Drosophila melanogaster: one gene and its partners. The protein of the gene in region 1 interacts with the protein of each later gene in a pairwise test. Each region holds a gene or a part of one and is shown on either strand. Other genes may lie near its edges. The genes, in order: CG12645, Pus7 and Sik3.

Region 1 (6,432 bases):
AGTGGTGATAGTACCTAGCACATGACCACTTGGACACTCAAGAAATCTTGAGTAAAAAGTACTTTATTGCAAAATCGCAATGAAATAAGTTAATATATGGAAGTCAAGTTTTTCAATTCGACGCTATTTTCAACTGTTTGCATTTATTTTTTTTAATAAATATTTTAAGTGAAACACCGGGTATTGCGGCAGTCACTAATCCGGGGATTCAACGCTTTCTTGGCTGTTTTCTAACCGCCATTGTTCCCCGCGGCAAGCTGAGAGCTCTTGCGATGAGGCTAAAACTTATAATCATGGCATCATCAACAAAATTATCGTTTTGCCACAGACGGCACACACACACACGCACACACACACGCACACATGTGATGGGAAATGGAGGTCCTGCACAGATACACTCGCCATTTAAGAGCATAAAAGCGAGACGTGCTCGAAATGTGAATTACTCGTGCCCCAAAACCCTACCAAAAAAAAAAAAAAAAAAAAAAAAAACACACACACTGTTGCACTTTGAGTGCTTGAGAGTATGTGTGTGCGTGTGAGCGAGTTGATTTTGCTCTTTGGCTCCATTTTGGCTCATAACTTTAACTATTTTACACGAACCCAAGGAACATTTACTCGACTTTTTCCTTTGTTTTTCTTGCCCCTTATTTAGTCGCTTTAGTGTTCAGCATTTTTTTTTTTTTGGCTGAAGAATTTTGCGGATGAGGGTAGAGTTTTGTGGATCTGGCACCTTCAATATCTTTTCCTTCACTTCTTTCGGGCTTTTTTTTCTCTCTTTTGGCAAATTAACAAGCCAGCAGGAGGGTGTGAGAAGAGGCAGTTCAGCATCCCTTTTAAACATTGATTTCCTGGCGCCTAGGTACATGGAGTATTTCTACACTACAAACAATTCGTAATATTTCTCAAGCTTATGTTTTGCCAAACCAAAACTTGTACAAAACTTGCCATCTTCGGGTGAATATTTTTCCCAGGTGTACAAATGTAATTGAAGCATCGAAGAAATCGCAATTCGCACGGACGCATTTCCTCGCAAAAGCAAACAACAAATAGATATATAAATATATATGTATATACACGTATATATGTATGTATATTTGTATATAAAAAAAAAGTGAAAGAGGCAGATTATATGGGCGGTGGTGAAAGCGTGGTGAAAAGTGGGCGCTGATGGAGATGAAGATACGACTGCTCCATTCAGCAGCTGTGAACGGTGAAAACCTTTTTGGCGCTAATTGCAATTACACGAAATATTATTTGCACACATTTTCAGCCAAAGCCGCAATCAGTGCGACAGAGAAGGTGCTTCTGCTAGAGAGAGCGAGAGAGAGAGAGAGAGAGAGAGAGAGAGCTATAGGCGGTCTGTGCGAAAATAAGCTAACAGTTTAATCAGTTGAACGAATGTTGAGCCAAATCCCAAGACCCCCAAAAAACGAAGGCCAATCGTCGGGATTATCGAGCAAGGAGTGGCCCAAATGAGTGCTCTTAATTTGAATGTAAGAATTTAATGAACTAAATGAACTGCCAGGAATAAATGTAAATAAATAAATAATCCAATAATAAAGATACGCCCCTGTTAACCTTTAACAACTAACTTATTTATGTAGCTCCATTTTTAAACCCTGATAGCTGACCTTTAGAATGCATAAATAGACAAATGTCAGGATCCATAATGGAATGCGAACCCTTTTACAGATTTATTTGCCCGCCTCATACATTTATTTGCGTACCCAAGTCAGCACCTGATACGCGAGTTGGTCCCCATTCACTCCGCCGCTGTCAAATTCAATTGCAGTTGCTATTCACAATTGTCTGGCATGTCGGCCGATAAGCCCACGGCATGGCACTCGGACCCCACCCCCCCTTAACCCCTTGACCCCTATTCAATCCCCTATCACACCCCCCCCCCCCCCCATTGGGCCCACAAACAGCGTGCAATAAATCAAACATCAAAGCGATGAGCCAACTTGAAATGGACTGCAAATTTATGCAGCGACAGCTCTCAGTGCCCCGATCCCAAAAAAACCCGATTCCCATTTGAATGGCAGATGGCGGAACAACAACAGCAGGAGTAAGCAAATCAAAGGTTGGCACACCCTGGAATTCATAAATAAAATTTAAGACCTTAAAAAAAAAACAGGCAAATTTAATATCAGGAAAGTTCAGGCATTTAACGGACAACGATAAATGTTAGTTTAAGCAATGTAAAGAAGAACGTTCCTTTTTTTTTTTTGGATAAACTAAAGGTATATTTTTTTACCTAATCCAGATATGTCAGTTATCCGTATGCAAATGAAAGTTTTCATTATAATTTGCCGTATACCTGTTTAGTTTATTTGCGCCTGTATACTATTTACATGCATGCGATAAAGTTAATTAAATGCAAAGTGGCAAACAGAATTTCATTCACATTTTTCCATCCTCATCGTGTCGTTGGAAAATATTGAAAAAACTTGAAGGAAAACAGAAAAACAAAAATGAATACGCAAACAGGAATACATTGTGGAAAACTCTATGCGAGAAATAGCAACACTATAAGATTTTGATTCATAACATTCTATGCAACTCGTTTTAAAGAGATATTTATACACTTCAAATAATTTTAAGAAATTTTTGTAAAAATATTTACGTGTATTTTTGAGCATTTGAAAATTTGTGTTGCCAGTGCAAGCGGTCAGCAGCACATATTGCAAAAGTTATGAACAGGAAATGAAACGGAAGCTGACAATATTCTCCAACGACGATGAAATAAAGGTGATTCAGCTAGACCATTTCCATTTCAAGCACTTTTTGACCAACTGTGGAGTTTTCTATTGGGGTGACTCGTTGATATCGCTAGCAGCTGGTTAATTGGCCCAGAATGTTTCACTATCATCGACAACTGTTTTTGGCTGGTTGTTTCTTTTTTGCCAAGGAATAAAAACCATCGTAGGGCGAAACTGGCCCAACAGAAGGGTTTGGAATGGCCGAAGAGAAGCATCGCATGTTGTTCCAAGACCAGGATCCCGGCCAGGATCTGCAGATAGAGCGACCCATGTCCTTGTCGCCATCGGAACCGCCGACCTACTATGATGCAATGCAAACGTTTACGATTCAGAATAATTTGGATTATTCCAACGATCGGCGAAGAACCCTTTTTGCAGAACCCCAACATCTAAGGTCCAGGGTGGAGGAAATGCCGATGCCGATGCCGATGTCCCAAACGAAAGACGAGGTGAGCGTACAATCGGAAGGATTAGCGGACAACAATAGCATCGATCATCGTGCAATGCCACCAGTGAGAAGTAAGTGCGATGGTAACTATGAACTGAACACTCATTCGATTGCATATTTTGAAATTGTGTATTGGCCAGATTTCTTTATCCTAAGCCCGCAACCCAAACTGGGTAGCCAGGCGATGGACATCGTGTGCCCAGCTTGTGGTCAACGGGGAGTCACCCGTTTGAAGAGGTCACCTAATGCTCGGACTAACCTTTGGGCCCTCTGCTTGTGCACTTTTGGGTGAGTTGGGTATTTAAATTAGTTTGAAAATTTTAACTAACTTTTAACCCAAAACGTTGTTAGCTTCAGAAGTGCTAAGTTTCAAGTACTTAACACTAAATATGAACAAAATGATGAGTAAACTTTCAAAAATCGTATGAAATAATGGAAATAGATAAAGTAACTTTCGATTTACATACCTCGAACTTTGATATACTCATATCCGTATATATGTATCTATGTTTTTGTTTTCAGTTGGTGCTGCTGCGCTTGCCTGTTTCCGTATCTATGGAATGGCTGCCGGACAACGAATCATTACTGCTCCGCCTGCGAGATCTTTCTGGGCGCACATTATCCGAGGAGCTGCTGCTGCTGCTGCTGCCGGCGGCGGTAGTCCGGAAATATCCTGCAGGATCGCAGCCGGAATCCGGCCGCTAATTGTGAAAGTTTTCCGTGTGTGCGAATAAAGCTGAGTGGGGCGGCACGCGCTTCTGACCGCAAGGACTTGGCGCTTATTCGCTTGTAATGAGTAACGCAGTGCCGGGCGCGACCGGAAATTGTGCGCCGTCAAATCGAATTGCCTACCTAAGCCCATCGTCCTTCGTCCTCAATCCGCAATCCACAATCCACAATCCTTTCAACATCGGACACCATACACCGATTACCATTGCCATGCTCTGTACTGAACTGCCCTGTCGCCCAAATGATGCATAACTGGCCTAAACAAATTGCCTCATCATCACTCCGTTTCGCACATCCTGCCAACGAGTGCTGGTTGTTGTGGATGCTGTTCGTTATTTGATACCCTGCAAAAAAAAGAAGAGAGTATTCAATTTAGATACAATTACTTAAATATAACAATAAAATTATAAATATGTCTAAGAAACTATTATGTAATTGGGCAAAAGGGCAAATGCAATCTTTTGCCAAGAACTTATATACCCGAAATCGAGAAGAGTGTCCCCAGAATTTGAACCATCCGCAGTTGTTTGGCCTCCAGTTGCGCTTTTTTGTTTTCGAGGTTTCTGCCTATTTCAGTGCTTTGCGCGGCTTTGTTCAATTTTTGGTACTGCAATTGGCCAGCGGTGGCAGCAAATTCAATTAGCGCCTCGTACGTTGCAGCCTTCAGCGCAACATGGCCTTCGACGAATGGGCCAAAAACCGTTACTGAAAGCCCAGCTATGGATGGATGGATTGACTAGGCCACAGCTGCGGGGCCGAGAAACAAAAGGACAGAGCTCGACAATTAGTCGGTTCACGGTGCCGCCAACAACAATAATGACCAAAAGAGCATTATGGCCGAGCTGGTGGAATAATGTGGAAGCTAAAACTCAATCGCATCAAGTATACGCCGCTTTGTCCACGCATCAGTTTATTATTGCTACTGCTGATGCTGGCGCCGTTGCTGTCGTAACAAACAATGATAATCAAAAACAACAATAATAATCATACTTATAATAAATACGTAATGGTATAACAATGAAAATGAGGTGCCAACGGCAGTCCGTCCCAATAAGTTGGCCACTTTAATTAGATCAGCTTTTGCTTCTGGCTGGTCTTCTGTTTTTGCGCCTGCCCATTAATGTCAGCAGTAAACAATGCGTATCATTGTGTTAATTCATTTTCCTATACATAAAAGCTACTACAGCTGCGTTTGCTGTGGACGGTGGACGGTTTTATTATTTAGGGGATTTTGTGCTTTAATTTATGATTTTCTTTAAGTAATATGTAATATTGAGTATTGCTATTGCCAAAATCTGTTTTTTCCAAAATTTCGTCATAGAATAATCCGTTTTTTGCAACAACTTTACAACTAATTGTTCAAATTTGGATTGTCATATCTCGTTTAACTCGTATTTAAATTTCCATTCAAAGTGTGTTTAAAAGCAGAATTTGTAATATTTTTCCATTTTTTGCTACTTTCAGACGTCAAATAATCAGTTTTTTTGCAACAACTTGAAAAATAAGTGTCTGAATATGGAATGCCATACCTCGTTGAGCTCGTAATTAAATTTCCAATCAAACTGTGTTTAAAAATGGAAATTCTATTTTTTTGACATTTTTTGCAAATTTTGATGATGTTACCCCTTAAAAAAAATGCAAAAATTGACCCAAAAATTAATTTTCGAAAATCCTCCAGAAAGTGATAGGGTTCGTTAGCATTGGTAATAAGCTGCTCAAAACAGTTATTCTTACATTAATATGACCATTTTTAGCCAAGTTATGACGAAAATTCCAATTGTAAATATCAACTTTTTGGCTAAATCCGTTTTTCCGAATTTCGGCCATCAAATAATCAGTTTTTTTGGCATAACTTTAAAAATAATTGCCTGAATATGGAATGTCATACCTCGTTGTGCTTGTAATTAAATTCCCAATCGAACTGTATTCACAAATGGAAATTCTATTTTTTGACCATTTTTTGCAAATTTTGACGATGTTACCCCTTACAAAAAATGCGAAAATTGACCCAAAAATTAATTTTCCTAAATCCTCCAGAAAGTGATAGGGCTCGTTAGCATTGGTAATTAGCTGCTCAAAACAGTTATTCTTTCATCTTTATGATAATTTTTAGCCAATTTATAACAAAAATTGCCTTCGTAAATATCGAATTTTTGCCAAAAACGGTTATTTTGAATTTCGGTCGTAAAATAATCAGGTTTATTGTCACAACTTTAAAAATAATTGTCCAAATATTGAATGTAATGTCTCGTTAAACTCGTATTTAAATTTCCACTCAAACTGTATTTAAAAGTAGAATTTCAAATTTTTTGCCATATTTTGCAAATTTTGATGACAAAAAAACTTAAAATTACGCAAAATATATTTTTTCTAAATCCATTTTAAACATTTACATTTTTGTCAAATGGCTGTTTTCAGTGTTCTCATTTGTAATATCAGCCGTAGGTCAGGTCGAAAACAAATATTTAATGCTCCCTCAGTCCATCGATT
Region 2 (7,880 bases), on another chromosome or scaffold:
TCCTCTGACCCTGATACATTTAATGTTTTTAACATTAAACAATTAAAAACGCTGCTAGATCACAATTACAAAAAACAAAAAACTTCAAATATGTACCAACTATGGTACAGTGGTACTTACTTATAAAGTGTGGCTATGGAAGAGTTAAGATAGGTGAGGTGTGAGTCCCACTTAAGGTGATAGTTTTCGGCGGCCATCTCTGCGGCCGGCAGCTCCTGTACAACGATAAAATCAATAAATAAATCAATAAATGCCGCCAGTGGGGTGTTTATTTTGAATCTCCCGATCCCACCACACCACCCAAGGAGTGGTGAATAGAGGGTTTAGCCACCATGCTCTTGTGACAGCATATTTCTCACACGAAGCAACGGTCATACTTATTCGCTAGCTTCCATTTGTTTACATATTTTCATTTGTGTTTATTTTGAAAATATCAAAATGTCGCAGTTCGACACGCGACTTATTGAGCTGGTTAGGGCTAATCCCAAGCTTTATGAGCGCGAACTTAGAAACGCACCCTACGAAGCGCATAAGAAGCGACATCCGGAAATCTGGAGCAGCATCGCCACTTCATTAAATTCAGAAGGTAAGAAACTGATAAATTGTATAAATATTCCCTAATTCCTCATTATATTTTAACTTAGCTAGTGCCTGTGTCAGTCGTTGGAATCATCTGGTGGCCAAACAGCGTCGGGAGCTGGCCAAAGAAAAGGCCGGAGGCACTGGCTCCGATTGGAGTCTTCTGCCGCATTTGAAATTCCTGCAGCATCACCACCATCCGATTAATCACCGAAATTCGGGTGATCTGAGTAGGAGCACACTGAAATCCAGCGACGAGGTCAACGATGATGAGGATCCGCTCCAGGAGGCCATGGATGAGCAGCTGGCCGTTGCGGGAGCTGCACCAGCACCACCCACAAATCCTGCCCATGCAACGCCAGTGGCTCAAGCAGAAAAGAGGATAGAAGCCCTGCTTGAAGGACTGGGCGAAGCAAACCGAATTAAGGCGGAGAAACGCATTCTGGCCTACCTATGCAAATGCAATCTGCGCGCCCTGAACGACGAGCAAATCGATGATATAGTTATTTAGGAAGATTGCCAAGATGATATAGTTATAAAGGAAGATTGCCATGATGATAAGTTAAATACATACATGCCGTGATAGGATATCAAAAGTAGCAAACATCACTGATCATATAATTGTTTAATAATTAAGTCATTTTTGTTATAGTTTATATATCTGGACAATTATCTTAAGCGAATACTAAATAACTTCTTTTTCCAAATGTATGCTTCCCTAAAAAATATTGTTAATCCATTCATTTAACCTAATCTTCGCATCTAATGAAGTTTACTATACAAACTAACTATTGCATTGTATGATATGATAAAACATTAACACGCCTGTGATTAAATAGTTTATTTTATTTGAGGCTTAAGATTAGCAATTTAAAATTCAAGACAACTGGTAAACCCCAAACAAAGCATCAATTGTCGCCAGAGGTCATTTATAGAGCCAGAGACTTGCGGGAGTGTATAGTAATGCAGTAGGAAGCTATCTGTGTGGCAAAAGCCAACTTTGAACAGGCGGGCGGGGAGCAGGTGGAGTAGGCGAGGGAAAATCGAATTGAGCCACGCCAAAAAACTCCTACTATGACGCAGCTGCTGCTGGGAACTGGTCAAAGAGTCAAAGAATGCGCGCGCAAGCAATAACATGTCCAATATCCATGTCTGGATCGGATCGGGGGAAGGCCTCCAGCACGGGGACAGGGCGACGACGACGCCAAAACAAGCATTTAGTTTATTAATTTGACGACTGCCGCAGGGGGAGCAGTGGGCCGAAACAAAAACATAACGAGCGAGGAGCGTCGTGCACCCTTAACGACTGATGCCACACTACCACTACCCCCTCGTACCGACTGAGTCCCCCTTACTTCACACGTACATGGTGAACCCTCCGACGCACTAAGCCACTATATGAACCAACTACTCCTACGGCCAGCCACCTACCCACTAGACCATTCCCATTCCCAATCCCCGGACTCAGCTCTTGGTATTAACACCGTATTATCGATTGATTTCCAGCACAAGCACACAACAAAAATCAATAGGCTGCCAGAGCCAAAATCAAATATTGTACAGTTCTGTGATTGTTTAGTTCAGTGTTGTCGTAAAAGTTATAAACAATTTGTAGACTCGAATGTATACTTACGCCTTAATAAATGGATTTTCAAAGTACGCGCCCAAAACGTTTAAATGCTACATTTAACTGGAAATTCACCTTGTCTCGCCTCTTGGTTTTTTTATTTGGTTTAAAATCTCTTTAAATCACTGGATGAATTGGATGGAGTCCGTGGATTTTTGGGGGACCGTGCTTGTTCGTTATTTGTTGTCAATTAATAATTTGTTATTGCTCTTCATTGAGAACGCTGGGGAAAACCGTGCGACTTGGACTTTTGAGCTGGGGAAACTGCGCAGCGCGTCGCTTGAGCTTTCGCGTTGGTGGCCACCGAACGAATAAAATCGCAGTCAAAGAAACAGGACCAAAAGGACTCTCCCAGGCGAGAGAGAGAGAGAGAGAGAGAGCGATTGAGATTGACGGGGTGCGAGCCACGGGATGCGACAGTGAGAGAGAGAGAGAGAGGGAGCAGCCCTCGTCCTCACGTGCGCATTGTTATTGTTGTGGTTGGTTCGAAGTTGGATACGAAGCGCGCGTAAAATTGATTTCCTGAGCATATTGATTTTCGGTATCTCACTTGGCCTACACCGCCTCCTCGGCCCCCTGAGTTTCCGCCTGCTCAGTTTCCTGCCCATCCTCGTCGGCCACCTCCTTTACCACCTCCATTTGTTCCTCCTGGGTTCCTACCGCCTTCTTTTCATTGTCCTCCTTAGCCATTGCCTGTTTCTCCAACTGCGTTTGCGATGCTGACGATGTGTCCTGCTTTAAGAGTTCTCGCAAAAACATGGTGGCATAGGCAGCCGTGGGCAGCGAGAACTCCAGCAGGAGTGCCATGTAATTGGCCTCAGCTTCAGCTGGTTCTGGTGCAACCGGAATGTTCTTCAATAGCTCCCAGTCGGAGGCGATAAGTGTATCCTCCGGCGTATTGTACATTCTAAAGCTCCACTTGAGATCACTGGACGATATGATCATCTTGCGGTAGGCGCCAGCCAATGCGTATGTCTTCTCCTTGTGCTTCAGTTGATCCGAGGAAAGACCCACTTCGGCGAGCATTTCCTCGTACCACGCGCCGCACTCGTTGCTGGGATAGGTGATGTCGTGTCCAGGCAGGGGAAGGACCACATCGCAAAGTTTGTACTTGCCGCTAGCGATGTCTTCTGCTGTGAGCGGGCGAACCTTTCGCTTGAAAATCGACTCCTCTTCGATGGCTTCATCCCCTTCGGGGACTTCCAGAGGTTCATCGTTAGGCTCCTCTTCTTTTTGCTCTTCCAAGGCCTCGCCCTGCTGCGCCTGCTCTTCCGAGGCTTCCGACTGATCCTGCTCCACATAAACCAAATCCCCGGGTATCAATTTCAAGCCGAACTCCTTAATTCGTCTAGACGCTATCCTGTTGAAGATCAGGCTTTGGTAAGCATGTGGATATAGCATGAGCATGTTGCGTGGTATCTGCCGCAGAGCTGATGAGTAATCTGATTCACCAAATCTGGCCAAGCCGTCCAGCAGCTTCTTTTCGATGAACTTTTCGCCGTAGATCTGTGCAGCTGCCGCCGCGGAGTCGCGATTTTTCCACCACTCCTCGCGTATGGGACGCAAAAACTCCACATCCGAGTCCCGGGGTTTCAGGATCAGTTCGCAGGCCAGTTTGTAATCGTGCTTGAGCAGAGCAACACCCACCTCATAGGTTGGGACACTGGCGCTGTTGCCGAACCGCTGCAAGCCATAGTAGTTGATGAAGCCGCGTTCCTTCAATGATTGCAGTGCCTGCTCGATTTCTTCTCGCTTCTCCTTGGCAATGTGTCGCAAGGCAATACGAAAACGATTGCCCTGCAAATCGCCTAGCTTCAGTGTATTGGATTCGAATCCAAAGTTGCCGATATGAACATTCCGTTGGGAGCGAGCTGCAACCAAAATGCTCTCTGGTGTACGACGCTTGACGGAGAACTTCTGGGTGGTTTTGGCCCGCTTGTCCTTGATGCCGCTGTAGTTCACCTGCGATGGTCGTAAGCTGTAGAAAAATAATGTTTTCTTAGTATATTAAAGCATTTAAAATTTGATCAAACTTACTTCAGTCGCGCTGCTAAAGTAGAGGCCACATCGCTGGTAACCAAATTGGTTTTGTGCACCAGGAAGGTCACGTAATCCGCCGGAAAGCTCCAGCGTTTGTCACCTATGGAATTCGATGCATAAAAAAAGGAATTCCCTGGGTAATCATTTCTACTAACCGCGTCCTGGCTTTGGTTTAAATACTTTTATAGTCTTCTTCTCCTCTGCCGGCACCTGTGAGTCTTTCTGGGTTGAGGTTTCACCTTCAGCCGCATCCTTATTTTCCAAAGATGCCTCCTCCTGGACCTTCGGCTTAGCCTGCTGCTGTCCAATGGTTGTGGACAGTAGCTTGCCCTTGTAAAGCTGTTTTATCATCTGGTGGACTTGTGTTCGCTGCTCCTTATCCAGAGTGGTCACATCAATCTCCACCTTTTGCTCGATCGCGGGATCGTTTTTGGCCTTAGCCAGATTGGCTATATCCTGCCAAACTTCCGGGCCGATTACTGCCTCCAGTTCTTTCCGCCAGTTGTCCAGTTCGTTTTCGGCCACAGCTGTTATAGTATGAGATGCATGAGCATAAGCAAGTATGCAGGATAATTGGTGAATACAGACCCACAATAGCCACTTTAGGCACACTGAGATCGTTCAGTTCCAGAACCTTTCCATTGCTATCAATCTCGTTCACGTGAAAATCAGAGAAGCGAGACTTAAGTATTCCCGTGAAGCCAGGTGCCTCCGGGTTAGTGAACTCCGTAATGCCCACTTGGGTCTCCAGCAGCGTGGATTTCTGTTGTGGAGCACTTTTGTCCAACGAAAAACGCCGGTTAACAACGATATTATTTATGGGATTTAATTTGTACCTGTTGCGCTGACCGCCACCATTGTTTTGGGGGCGATCCTTCTTCTGACCACGCCAGTTGCTCTTGTTGTATGGCCCGGAATGGTTATTCCTACGTCCTCTGCCCCGATCCTTGCCCATCTTGGTTCAAAATTCGCGTTTGAAAATTTGTCGGCAAATGAAATCCACGTTTTGCACAACATATGATGTGCCCATTCACAATAAGCTTTTTAGGTTTATTAGGGTGGCCGCATGTGCCATTTATTCGGGAAATAGATTTCTTAAATGGTTGTTAGCATAAGTTCATCCGCAAATATTCCTCTTTTTTTATATTGTATGATAAATATAATTTAAAAACATGCTTAATATTAACATATCATAAAACTTTTGTTAGTATATTTTCCTCATTTATACTTCAGTATTTTTTGGTATTTTTCTGGTCCCAGATCAAGTTCACACTGCGTACGTAATGTAAAGAAAATGTGCAATACAAAGAAGCATTGGAAAGAAGTGTAAAAATTGAGAAATAACCAAAAATTGGAACGGATTAATTCATTAGGTTAAGCCAAGGAAGCAACGAAATGTTGCCGCATATAAGTGCCGACGAGGCACAGCCGTCTATGTCGCGAAAGGTGTACATCAATCCGAATTTTCAGCTGCAAGGTCAAACGGCGCATCAGCTGCCGTTCCAAGTGCCCTTCCAGGCGTTCCAGGCGCCACTGCAGCCTCAGCCCGCGATCCATATCAATCCGCACTTTCTGAATCGCCAGCGGGCCATGTACGACCAATACCAGCGGGAGCAGCAGGAGCAGCTTATGATGCAACAAGTTTCCGCCTCGCACTATCGACTGGATCCAACGATACACCTACTGGCGACTCCACCTCCTCCGCCCGCCAAGATCATCAGCAAAGTGAGCACGTGTCTCGTGCGCAAGCCATCAGTGGTGGCAAGTGGTCCGGCGGTGAAGCTCGCTGCTTCAGTACCTGTGCCCACTGTTTCCAGCCTGGTGCAGCCTCCATTGGTAAGCATTTCCAAGCGGAAAATTGTGAGGCAAGGAGCATTGAAAGCAGCGCCAGCGGTTGCTGCCCTCCATCCTCCTCCACCTGCTAAACGCACTAGGTACAAATTAGTGCGTTCCATATCACTTACCTGCACACCGCTGGTCAAAAAGCGTCGTCCTCTACGCGAGTTTGTGGGCCAGTACGCCCTGAGACGCACCAATGAAGCGCAGCCCAACAGAAAACTGAGGTAATGAAAATCGGATACGAGCAGTTGAAAATAGTCAAGCAACAGGCGACTCTGTTAGACAAGGTAATGTACATCAACTAACTTAACTTTTATTACAGCTCCAAGCCGCAGGCGCTGAAGCTGGGCGTTAACAAATCCCTGAGCATGGTCAGCATACACGGTGTGATGTACAAGAAGATATCGAAGAACAAAATAACCAAGCTGGATGCCAGTTCCTCCGCTAGGGTAGCCAAATCGGAGAGTCCCAGGACCTTGCAGCGTACCTTGTCCGGCAGAACGCTCTTCGTCAGCGGCAATAAGTTCATTTTAGATCCTTCCGGCTGCCGCCTGACCAGAGTTTCAACCTCATCAACTGGTGCTACCCAGAGTAGCGTAAATCGTAGCATCCTGAGGCGCATCGATATCGGCGGCCTTACCTACGTTGCTTCGCCAAAGGCACTGAATGTCTTTGTACGCACCAGTAATCACGTGTCGCGAGCCCATTTAATCACCGCCAAACAGAGAAGCCTGACGTTGCTCAACAAATCGTTGGTGAAGACCAATGTGCCTTGTGCCATCTTCCAGAAGCTGGGCAAGTGCGTTGCCCATAGTCGTGGCAAGTGCCGCAAGCTGCACGACAAGCGGCAGGTTGCCATCTGTGTCAGGTTTGTCCTTGGCCAAGCGAAGAGTGCTAAACCTTCGATGGCGTCCAATGTTCGAAATTCGCAATGCGGTTATCTTTTTGAAATCATTTACTTGCAGCTTTCTGCGCGGGGAGTGCACCAAACCCAAATGCCTGCTGTCCCATAATGTCACGCTGGAGAAGATGCCCGTCTGTCGGTACTATTTGCGCGGCGTTTGCGTTCGCGAGGATTGCCCGTACCTACACAAGAAGCTGAGCAGCAAGACCGAGATTTGTATTGACTTTGTGCGCGGCTACTGTCCGTTGGCTGCCGAGGTAAATAGGTCTGCCACTTATTTTCATTGAAAACCTATTAACTCCAAAACATTTTAAGTGCAACAAACGTCACGAGTTTTCCTGTCCCGAGTTGGAGCGCAAGGGCAAGTGCGAATTACCCAGGTGCGTGTTCTGTAAGAAGTCGCCATCAAAGCGATTGGCCAAAGTCAAGTCGCGTCCCAAACTGGGCAGTAAACCTGTCGCCTTCACGGATACCGCGAAAGAATCGTCTACAGCGGATGAGTTGCCCACCAGTTCACGCTACTTTGGGTCCCACAAGGAACCAGCGGAAGCAATATTGACTAGAGATGATGTGGAACAGAAGAAACCTGAAGCGGAGGATGAGGATCAGAAGGAAGCGGGTGCCCCTTGCCCTCGACGACGTCCTCAACTGGGAACTCTACCCTCTTTTATTCCCTTAGGTGGCGAAGAAAAGCTATAAGGCTATGCGAAGGCTATGGACCCAACGTTTCAGGTACAAATTAATTCGGTTAAGTATTGTTTTAACGTTTAGTCTAAGATTTATCTTTAGTAGCTTATTTTCAAGTTTTAATAAAATATTCAAAAAGACAAATTTATTTGCGTAAAATAAATAAAAGATACATTTTATTGGTTGGGTATATATTTGCTACGC
Region 3 (7,422 bases), on another chromosome or scaffold:
CAACTGAGGCCTTTTATAAAACGATCTGCTAATTTTCCGAAATTGAAGCTTGCACATGTATTAGGTTCCAGATGGGTTTTCTGATTCCACGAATCCTTTTGGTTTTGATGCCCTCGCTTCAATTGTTTTCTTTGATTCTGAATAGATTCTCGCTGTTTGAGTAGCTCACGTTGCAGTTGCAACTGCTCTAGTTGCTGACGCTCTTTTCTCAGTGTATTTAGTTTGGATTTCTTATTTGGCTTTGGCGGAATATCAGGCAAAGGTTTAATTTTCTCCACTATGGGTTTTTGATATGTGGAGGTGGGGGTGGGAGATGTGCTCCTGATTGTCACTTTCTTCGTTTTTGGAGGAGGACTGGCAGCAAAGTAATCCCCATTGAGCTGCTGACCAGCTCCAGTTCTTGAAGAATTCTTCAGAATGCCAACAGGTGCTGCCTTCAGCTGCTGTTGCTGCTGCAGTAGAAATTGCTTGTGTTGCTGCTGCACTTGATACTGCTGTTGTTGCCACTGCAAAGGACTAACTGCACCCGGATAGTTGAACAAATTTCCTTGATTCAACTGAAGATGTTGCTGCTGCGACGCGGATGCAACTCCCACTGCTGGAACACCACCGTAGCCTTGATTTTGACAAGCAGCTAAGATGCAACCGGGTGTCAGCAGAGCTGCCTTAGAAACACTTCGACTTGGATAGGATCCATTGCTGGCGTTTTGATAGCCCCTTTGAAATTGCATTTGAGGATGCTGCTGCAGTCCGTAGTTTGGTATGAAGCTCTGAATCGAAGCGCTTTTTCGCTGGGATTTCATTAGCTGCCCTCGCAAACGACTCAATTTCCGGCTACTGACTTCCGGCGGAGCTAAAACCGCCATTCGCGGCATGGCGCCACCAAATTTGTTGCACACGGAATGCCAATATTCTGGCATAGCGGCAACTAATGGAGCTCGGGCGAATTGCTGCTGCTGCCACAGCTGCTGATAGGCATTCATCGAAGCCTGCTTGGCCGAATTAGTCAGTACCCTTCTCCGAACCATGCTGGATTTAATGGATTCTTATTGATTCGCTTGAGGTTTTGTTCTTCAACTGCTGACTCTGAAAGTTTCTGCTGGCTTGCTTTGCCGTTGAATAGTTTTTTTTTCTGGTTTAATTGGGGCTTGTGGGTTCATTGAAAATTTTGGATGCACTTTTGGTGCCATATCTGTTATTGGAAAAACCCTGACAATTGGTAAACGGCCTGCTATGAAATGTTTGTTTATAAGGCTATAGAACTGCAATATTTTGTTCATTCTTGTGATAAACAACATATTTTTATCAAAAAAAAAAAAAAAATTTATTTGTCCATTCAAGTAATATAAAACTTTCAATCTTAAATGTATTTTCAAAATATGGTTTTCAAATTAATTTAAATCGTTTAAATTCTGTCTTATATATATTCCTTAGTTTCTCGCAGTGGTGCACAAACTTTGAAATGACGTCACGCGACTCCTGGTGCGTAACTCATTTGGTCCTCTCGCTCATTCTTACTCTCTCTCTCTCTCCACCTACGCAATTTCCGTTTTAGTGGTGTAGTGAAATTCCCGGCTCCATTTTCATTCAGGTGGCTGCTGGTGGAAAGTTGAATCAACGGCCAGCTGGAAGGCATTCATTCATGGACGGGGTCCTTCCAAGATGCCACTTGGTTTCGTGCGTATTCCAAGCTGCGCAGGAAGTAGAAATTTCCGTTACAAAAGCAAGCGTCGAAAAGGACTTTCATGAACAGACAATCAAATAAACTCATTTCATTTACAAGTTTCAAGTGAACATAATCCAGTTTTCAGATTGTTCTATATTTTCCATAGATTTTTTAAGTTTTATTTCTCAAGAAAAATGGTCTCCTTTGGCGGTGTGGCAAAACTATTGAGCAGCTTCGAGTGCTGTGCCAGTTCGTGGGTCAAAGCCGTAAATCCCGGATGGTACGAGGCTCGTGAGATTCCGAAGACCATCCTGATCCAGAAAGTGCGACAGGTGCCCCAGAATACCAGGGTGATACGCCAGAGACCCCAAACCGCGGAGCCGCCCAAAAAATCCTCCAGCCAAAAGCGCCAACTTTATCTCTAAGCTCCAAAAAGTTGGGGAAATAATGACTCATTGGTTAGTATTTTACTAAAGCAATTGCTCTGATTCTTACCATATACTCTTTGATGGACGCCTGAAAGTATGCAGAGAAATCCAACCTTTTGTTAAGACTTTAAGCCTTGTAAATTGATGCAGAGAGGACTTCAAAATCTTACAAGCTATTAACTTTTATTTTATTACTATAAATTTAATGTTTTGTTTCTTTGTTTGCTTCCAGGCTAAACATTGTTTATATATTTTCAACAAGTCTAAAGCACACATATAATTTTCATTTACAGATTTAAGTGTTTTAATCGAATGTACATTGTATTGGTAAATATGTAACGAATTTAAATCTGCATTTAGTGTTGGCTAATATCCGCTTTCTTCCACAGAGTTGTCTCGCAGTCGTCATCGATTTCGTCATTTTGTCTGCTTCGCTACACGGCCACACTGAGTCGGTGCCGAGTTTTTGCTTCGCGAGCAGGTGGTGTTGTCCAATCAGAATCGCCGTAGACGGCACGAATAACAGAAAAAAATTCCAATAGAACAGCCGAGGGCGATTATTTATGTGTGTTCATGTTAAATGTTAAATGCAAAATTACGCGTCGCACGCTGCGCCCACGCGATTTCGAATCCGCATCCGATTGTTCAGTGCAAACACACACACACCAACCAAGTGAATATAATATGTAAGCGAAAGGCAAGAAGCCAGCAACAAAGCGCCAGTGATAAGCGCAATAATATAAATGCAATATAGTATAAATTCAACGTGAAAAGAAATCTCGCCAGCGAAATACAAAAAAAAGCGGAGGAAGCGACAAATGGAAATCAAGTAAAATGAAGAAGAGCGGAGAGATAGAAATCGTAATGTGTAAGCGCGACCAGAGCGTATGAAAAAATCGAAAAAAAAAAACGGTGGAGCGAAGATTAAATAAATTTACAAGTGTGTTTTGTATTTGACCAGCTTTTGTGAGTGTTGTTATTGTTGTTTTTGCGGAGGCTGAAAGAAAAGCGGAATAACAACAACACAGCAGCAGCAGCGCTGTTGCATGTGTGTGTGTGGTGAGCAACTATTTCCAGTGATGAGCGCGTGACACGATATGCGCTTCCACCAGTTCACAGCATAGAGTGCAATAAAAGAGCTCGTGACCCACGCGGCCATCTCGAATGGCCACCGAGATGCGGAAGCTAAAAACATATTCATGAATGGCAATTATGTGACGTGCGCTGCGGCAAGTTTTACCTTCGATTCCGAGCCGTGGAAAAAGGAAAACAAAAAAAATGCGCGTACGATTTTCCACTTTGGAAGTCGTGACGTTTTCCCATACATAACGGTGTGAGCGTGTACGAGTGTGTGTGTGGTTGTATGTTTGCGGTGGGGGCTCTCTGTCTCTCTCACTCGTTCGCTTTTATACGCATGTGTGTGTGTGCGTGCGTACGTCATTGCAACTCCGGTAAAACGCAAATAAGGGGCAGCGAAAAGCCAATTGCCGTTGAGTGGTCTAATTGGACACCTTGCGTATGCATTGTTTGTACTATTTACCATTTGGCGACCCGTTATCAATTGCAGGTGCTTTCTCCTGTAAACAGTGTGTGGTGTGTGTGAGTGCGTGCGACCTCGACAAGTTCTTTTTCATTCTTTTGTCGTCACACATATGCAATTGCACGGGAATAAAAGAAGTGTAGTGATCTTGAATAAAATCTTGTTTCATTAACTACAACACTGAAAGTCGAAATGGACATTCCTAAAATGAATTGATAGCTATTTTTGTATGGATTGAGCAAAAGCGAAAAGCCCAAATTCGTTTTGCTCAATCTTTACTGTTTTTTTAAAATTACTACTGAGAAGCAAAGAGTACGTTCTCATTATGTTTTGAATTTTAAATGAGTTTTGAGATTTTTTTTATCTCTAAAGCAAATATGTCACTGCGAATTAACCCAAGAAACCTTAAAAATGTTTTTATAAATGTTTTAAAATATATTTAAAAATCTGTAAAAATAACGTTCAATAGTATTTCTTTCAGTTTAGTTGGCTATTTCTTGGAGTTACAAAAATTATTTTGAAATTCATAGCACAGATCACATTTTCTCTTTGTGTATGCCCCAGTAATTGTAATTTTCATACGGGTTGCGGTAGTTTTCCTGTAAAATTCCTTGACTCCTTGGAGTCCCAAGCCCCCAAACACATACACAAGCTGTTGCTGCGCCCCCGCTCACGCACACATGCAAATGGGCGCCCTGCTGATAGTGCCTTCTCCCTCTTAGCTTTGTCAGTCGATGGAGAACCCACGATTGTCTCTCTTCTCGCATATTTGCTTTGCTCCGTCGCCCTATCCCTTTTTCTCTGCCCACTACCCACCGTTCGCCACCCCCACTCCCACTCGCCCCCTCTCTTTCCGTCTGCTTTTCTGTCTGGCTTTGGATGCTGTGTAAGTCCAAGTTCTCTAGTTGTTGTTGCTGCTGCTTTTGGTTTTTCGGCTCTCTTTTGCTTTCGGCTTGTTGCCTCATTTATTTTACTTGTCGTTTCTTTTTTGCCTTTCGCTTGCTGTTGTTTTTATTTTTTTAATCATTTTTGTCTCTCCGATTTGGTAAAAAAGAGTCAAAACAACTGCTAGTTATCAGCAAAATTGGCCAGATACGTTGAATACCCAACTCTTGCTTCAAAAGCAGTTTTAAAAGCGTTTTTTTCAAGTAGTAGGCACTTTTATGCTACTAAATGTTAAGGTTCTCTATGTTTATTTAAGGATATATTTACTGTAGCAGTTTAAAATCGGATAGTTCAAAGATTTACATATGTATAGGTTCAAATCACACTTTGCTTCAAATCAGTCTTTTGTATAATTCAATACTTTTTAACTTCCATTCAGCGAATTAAAGCTAGACTTTAATAATGATTCAATAAATTATTTAAATTATTTATAGTTTAAAAAAAATAATGAATAGAGTAACTCCTCTTTGAGTACACCGTGCGATACATATATAGTGGATTTTTAGCACCTTTGACCCGGTGACGTCTTTTACATCCCCACCACATAGTGCTGCGTGCTCTGTTTCCCTCTTACAGTCGCTCCCTCTCGCTCTGCGCTGGAAGTGTGTGTGGCTGGCTGGAAGCGAGGTCGCAGCCTCCCCGGCTTCAGTTAGCCGGAGAAGTATCTTCCAGGTTGGAAGTTCATTCAGTTTTGACTTTTGACTCCGTCCGCTTCGTACTTCGCGTGGTTCGGTCTGCGGTATGCCATTCGCTTGCTAATTCCACAAAAATTCTACAACTGTTTTGTGTCTTTCCACTGATAAATGCAAATAAACAATAGGAAAGCGTACGCGAAAACCTTTCAGAAATGTGAGAAAATCGGTGGATGTGAGAGGAAGCGAGAGGGTGAGGTGTCCAGCTGCCGCGGCTCTTTTCACACCCGCGAAATATCACGAGAAAGTTTTGGGGGAAAACAATTTGTTTGGATTATGCGAGTGTGTGGCGAGTGTTGGTTGGGTTAATGTTTGATCGTCGTCGTCGCCGCCTGCTTCCTCTTCTTCGCACACACTCTGGTCTAAATTGATTTCAATGAGCTTTTTGACGACTACCCCTCTCTGTTCCCCACCGCTATCACCGTCCCTTTCGCTTCACGATTATGTGCGAATGTGGCTGTGCAAGTGCCCGGTTTTCATACGACCTTGATGTTGTACATTAACCCATTGTGAGCCCCTATTACTCGCTGTCTCTTTCGCGCGATCAGCTTACAAAAAAAAAAAAAACAGACATGGGCCCTGTTTTCTTTTTTTATCGTGGTCTTAACGCGCTTCATTTTCTTAACGTTACACTGAAAACTTAAAACTATTCCTGCCTAATAAAAATATGTTCATTGAGTAAAATATCTACTTTTTCGTATTTGGAAAAATATCTTGAAAGTATTCTGAAAAAAAATTCTGAGATAATGTACTTTTTAAGCATAACAAAATTTTTTAACTAGTTTACTTCAAAAGTTCCGTTTTTTATGAACATACGCTGAACCAAAAATGTTATCACCAAGTTTTTTTGAAAGCTAAAATAATAAAATAAAATGAAATAAAAACATTGCCAGCGCTTAGAAATCAAAGTACAAAAAGCGGTTATGGCTGGAAAAATATTCATGTGCCTTTTGTTTTCTTTGAGATTTCTGCTCGAATAGATAACACTACTGCTCTCTGTTTTCATTAGTTTATTTCTTTTTCTCTTTTTGCTATCTTTGGTGTTTGTTTTGCTCATTAAACCACACGCACACATGCGCCACGCCCACCCGCGATAAAGAAAAATAGAAATGAAAACCCCAAGGTCAAAAACTAGACAAAGTGAAATACTTATTTAATAATTTTCCCTCTCTTCCCTCAAGACGGTGACAAAAAGTGCAAAATCGAAATGTGAAAAGTAATTTGCGTTCGAACAAAGAGCCATTAAATCGAGACTTGAAGGCGTCGTAAACCAAAAAAATATATATACATATATTGAGAACAAATAAAACGTTCGAGGAAGTGTCGCTTCAATAAATAAAAAAAAAAAAACTAAAGAACAAAGTGAGCATTGGAGTTGCCTGGTGGGCATGGCCCACTGCCCGCCGAGAATCCGCTGGAAAGTCCGAACGAGAAGCTGCCATTGACCTCTTAATCGAGTTAAGTGAATATTTTAGAGTCCGCGCAAACTCTACACAACTCACACAATCCACTGTTGCTGGCGGCGGCTCCCCCGTCTCCAAACTCCCGGATCCCCAACCAGTTTCCCGCATCCCGTCATCCCAATTCTCCGTTCTCCATTCTCAATTCTCCGGTTCACCATTCTCCGGTTTGTTAGTCTCGCCGCCAGCAAATGAACTCTCGCGTTCGCGTTTGAACTGCGCGACAAAAGAAAATGCATATTAAGTGAATTTCCTGTGCGCGAAAAGCCAATTACGCATCCGCAAGAATCCTCATCCTCCTACGGCAAAAAGAGAAAAAGGGAATACACCGACGCAGCTGCGACGATGGCCACCACACCAACGGCTGGGCCAGCAGCAGCTCCTCCAACGTCCTCAACGCCGCAGAACTACAAGGTGCCATCGACCAGCAAGATATCCGTGGACAAGCTCCTCCGGGTCGGCTACTATGAGCTGGAGAAGACCATCGGCAAGGGCAACTTTGCAGTGGTCAAGCTGGCTACCAACATTGTGACCAAGACAAAGGTGAGTTTCCATGCAAATACCTCAACTGATTAACTGACTAATCTTGGCAACTGACATCGGCTTAAAGATTGGTTATGATCTGTATGGGTGAAAGATCTTTAAGTTCTACTTCGAATCAATAGATACACGTACTGATACAAATTGCTGG

Evidence for each region.
Region 2: the proteins of CG12645 (region 1) and Pus7 interact in a two-hybrid assay, tested with the Drosophila melanogaster proteins (one large-scale study listed by BioGRID).
Region 3: the proteins of CG12645 (region 1) and Sik3 interact in a two-hybrid assay, tested with the Drosophila melanogaster proteins (one large-scale study listed by BioGRID).

The regions. Positions count from the first base shown.
Region 1 is NC_004354.4:10,150,650-10,157,081, forward strand, and holds CG12645 (uncharacterized protein), read left to right. Parts: upstream 1-2,962; coding exon 2,963-3,296; intron 3,297-3,353; coding exon 3,354-3,501; intron 3,502-3,680; exon of another isoform or gene 3,681-3,735; coding exon 3,736-3,874; 3' UTR 3,875-4,360; downstream 4,361-6,432.
Region 2 is NT_037436.4:8,507,406-8,515,285, reverse strand, and holds Pus7 (pseudouridine synthase 7), read right to left. Parts: upstream 5,284-7,880; 5' UTR 5,202-5,283; coding exon 5,083-5,201; intron 5,023-5,082; coding exon 4,835-5,022; intron 4,774-4,834; coding exon 4,402-4,773; intron 4,347-4,401; coding exon 4,244-4,346; intron 4,185-4,243; coding exon 2,762-4,184; 3' UTR 2,279-2,761; downstream 1-2,278. Other genes in the region: CG6765 (uncharacterized protein), read right to left, coding at 121-197; CG6683 (uncharacterized protein), read left to right, coding at 439-586, 645-1,090; ZC3H3, read left to right, coding at 5,642-6,309, 6,408-6,953, 7,051-7,246, 7,305-7,688.
Region 3 is NT_033778.4:18,685,589-18,693,010, forward strand, and holds the start of Sik3 (Salt-inducible kinase 3), read left to right. Parts: upstream 1-2,543; 5' UTR 2,544-2,962; exon of another isoform or gene 2,963-3,060; intron 3,061-6,452; 5' UTR 6,453-7,076; coding exon 7,077-7,274; intron 7,275-7,422. Other genes in the region: CG44433 (uncharacterized protein), read right to left, coding at 1-1,028; CG42855 (uncharacterized protein), read left to right, coding at 1,861-2,091.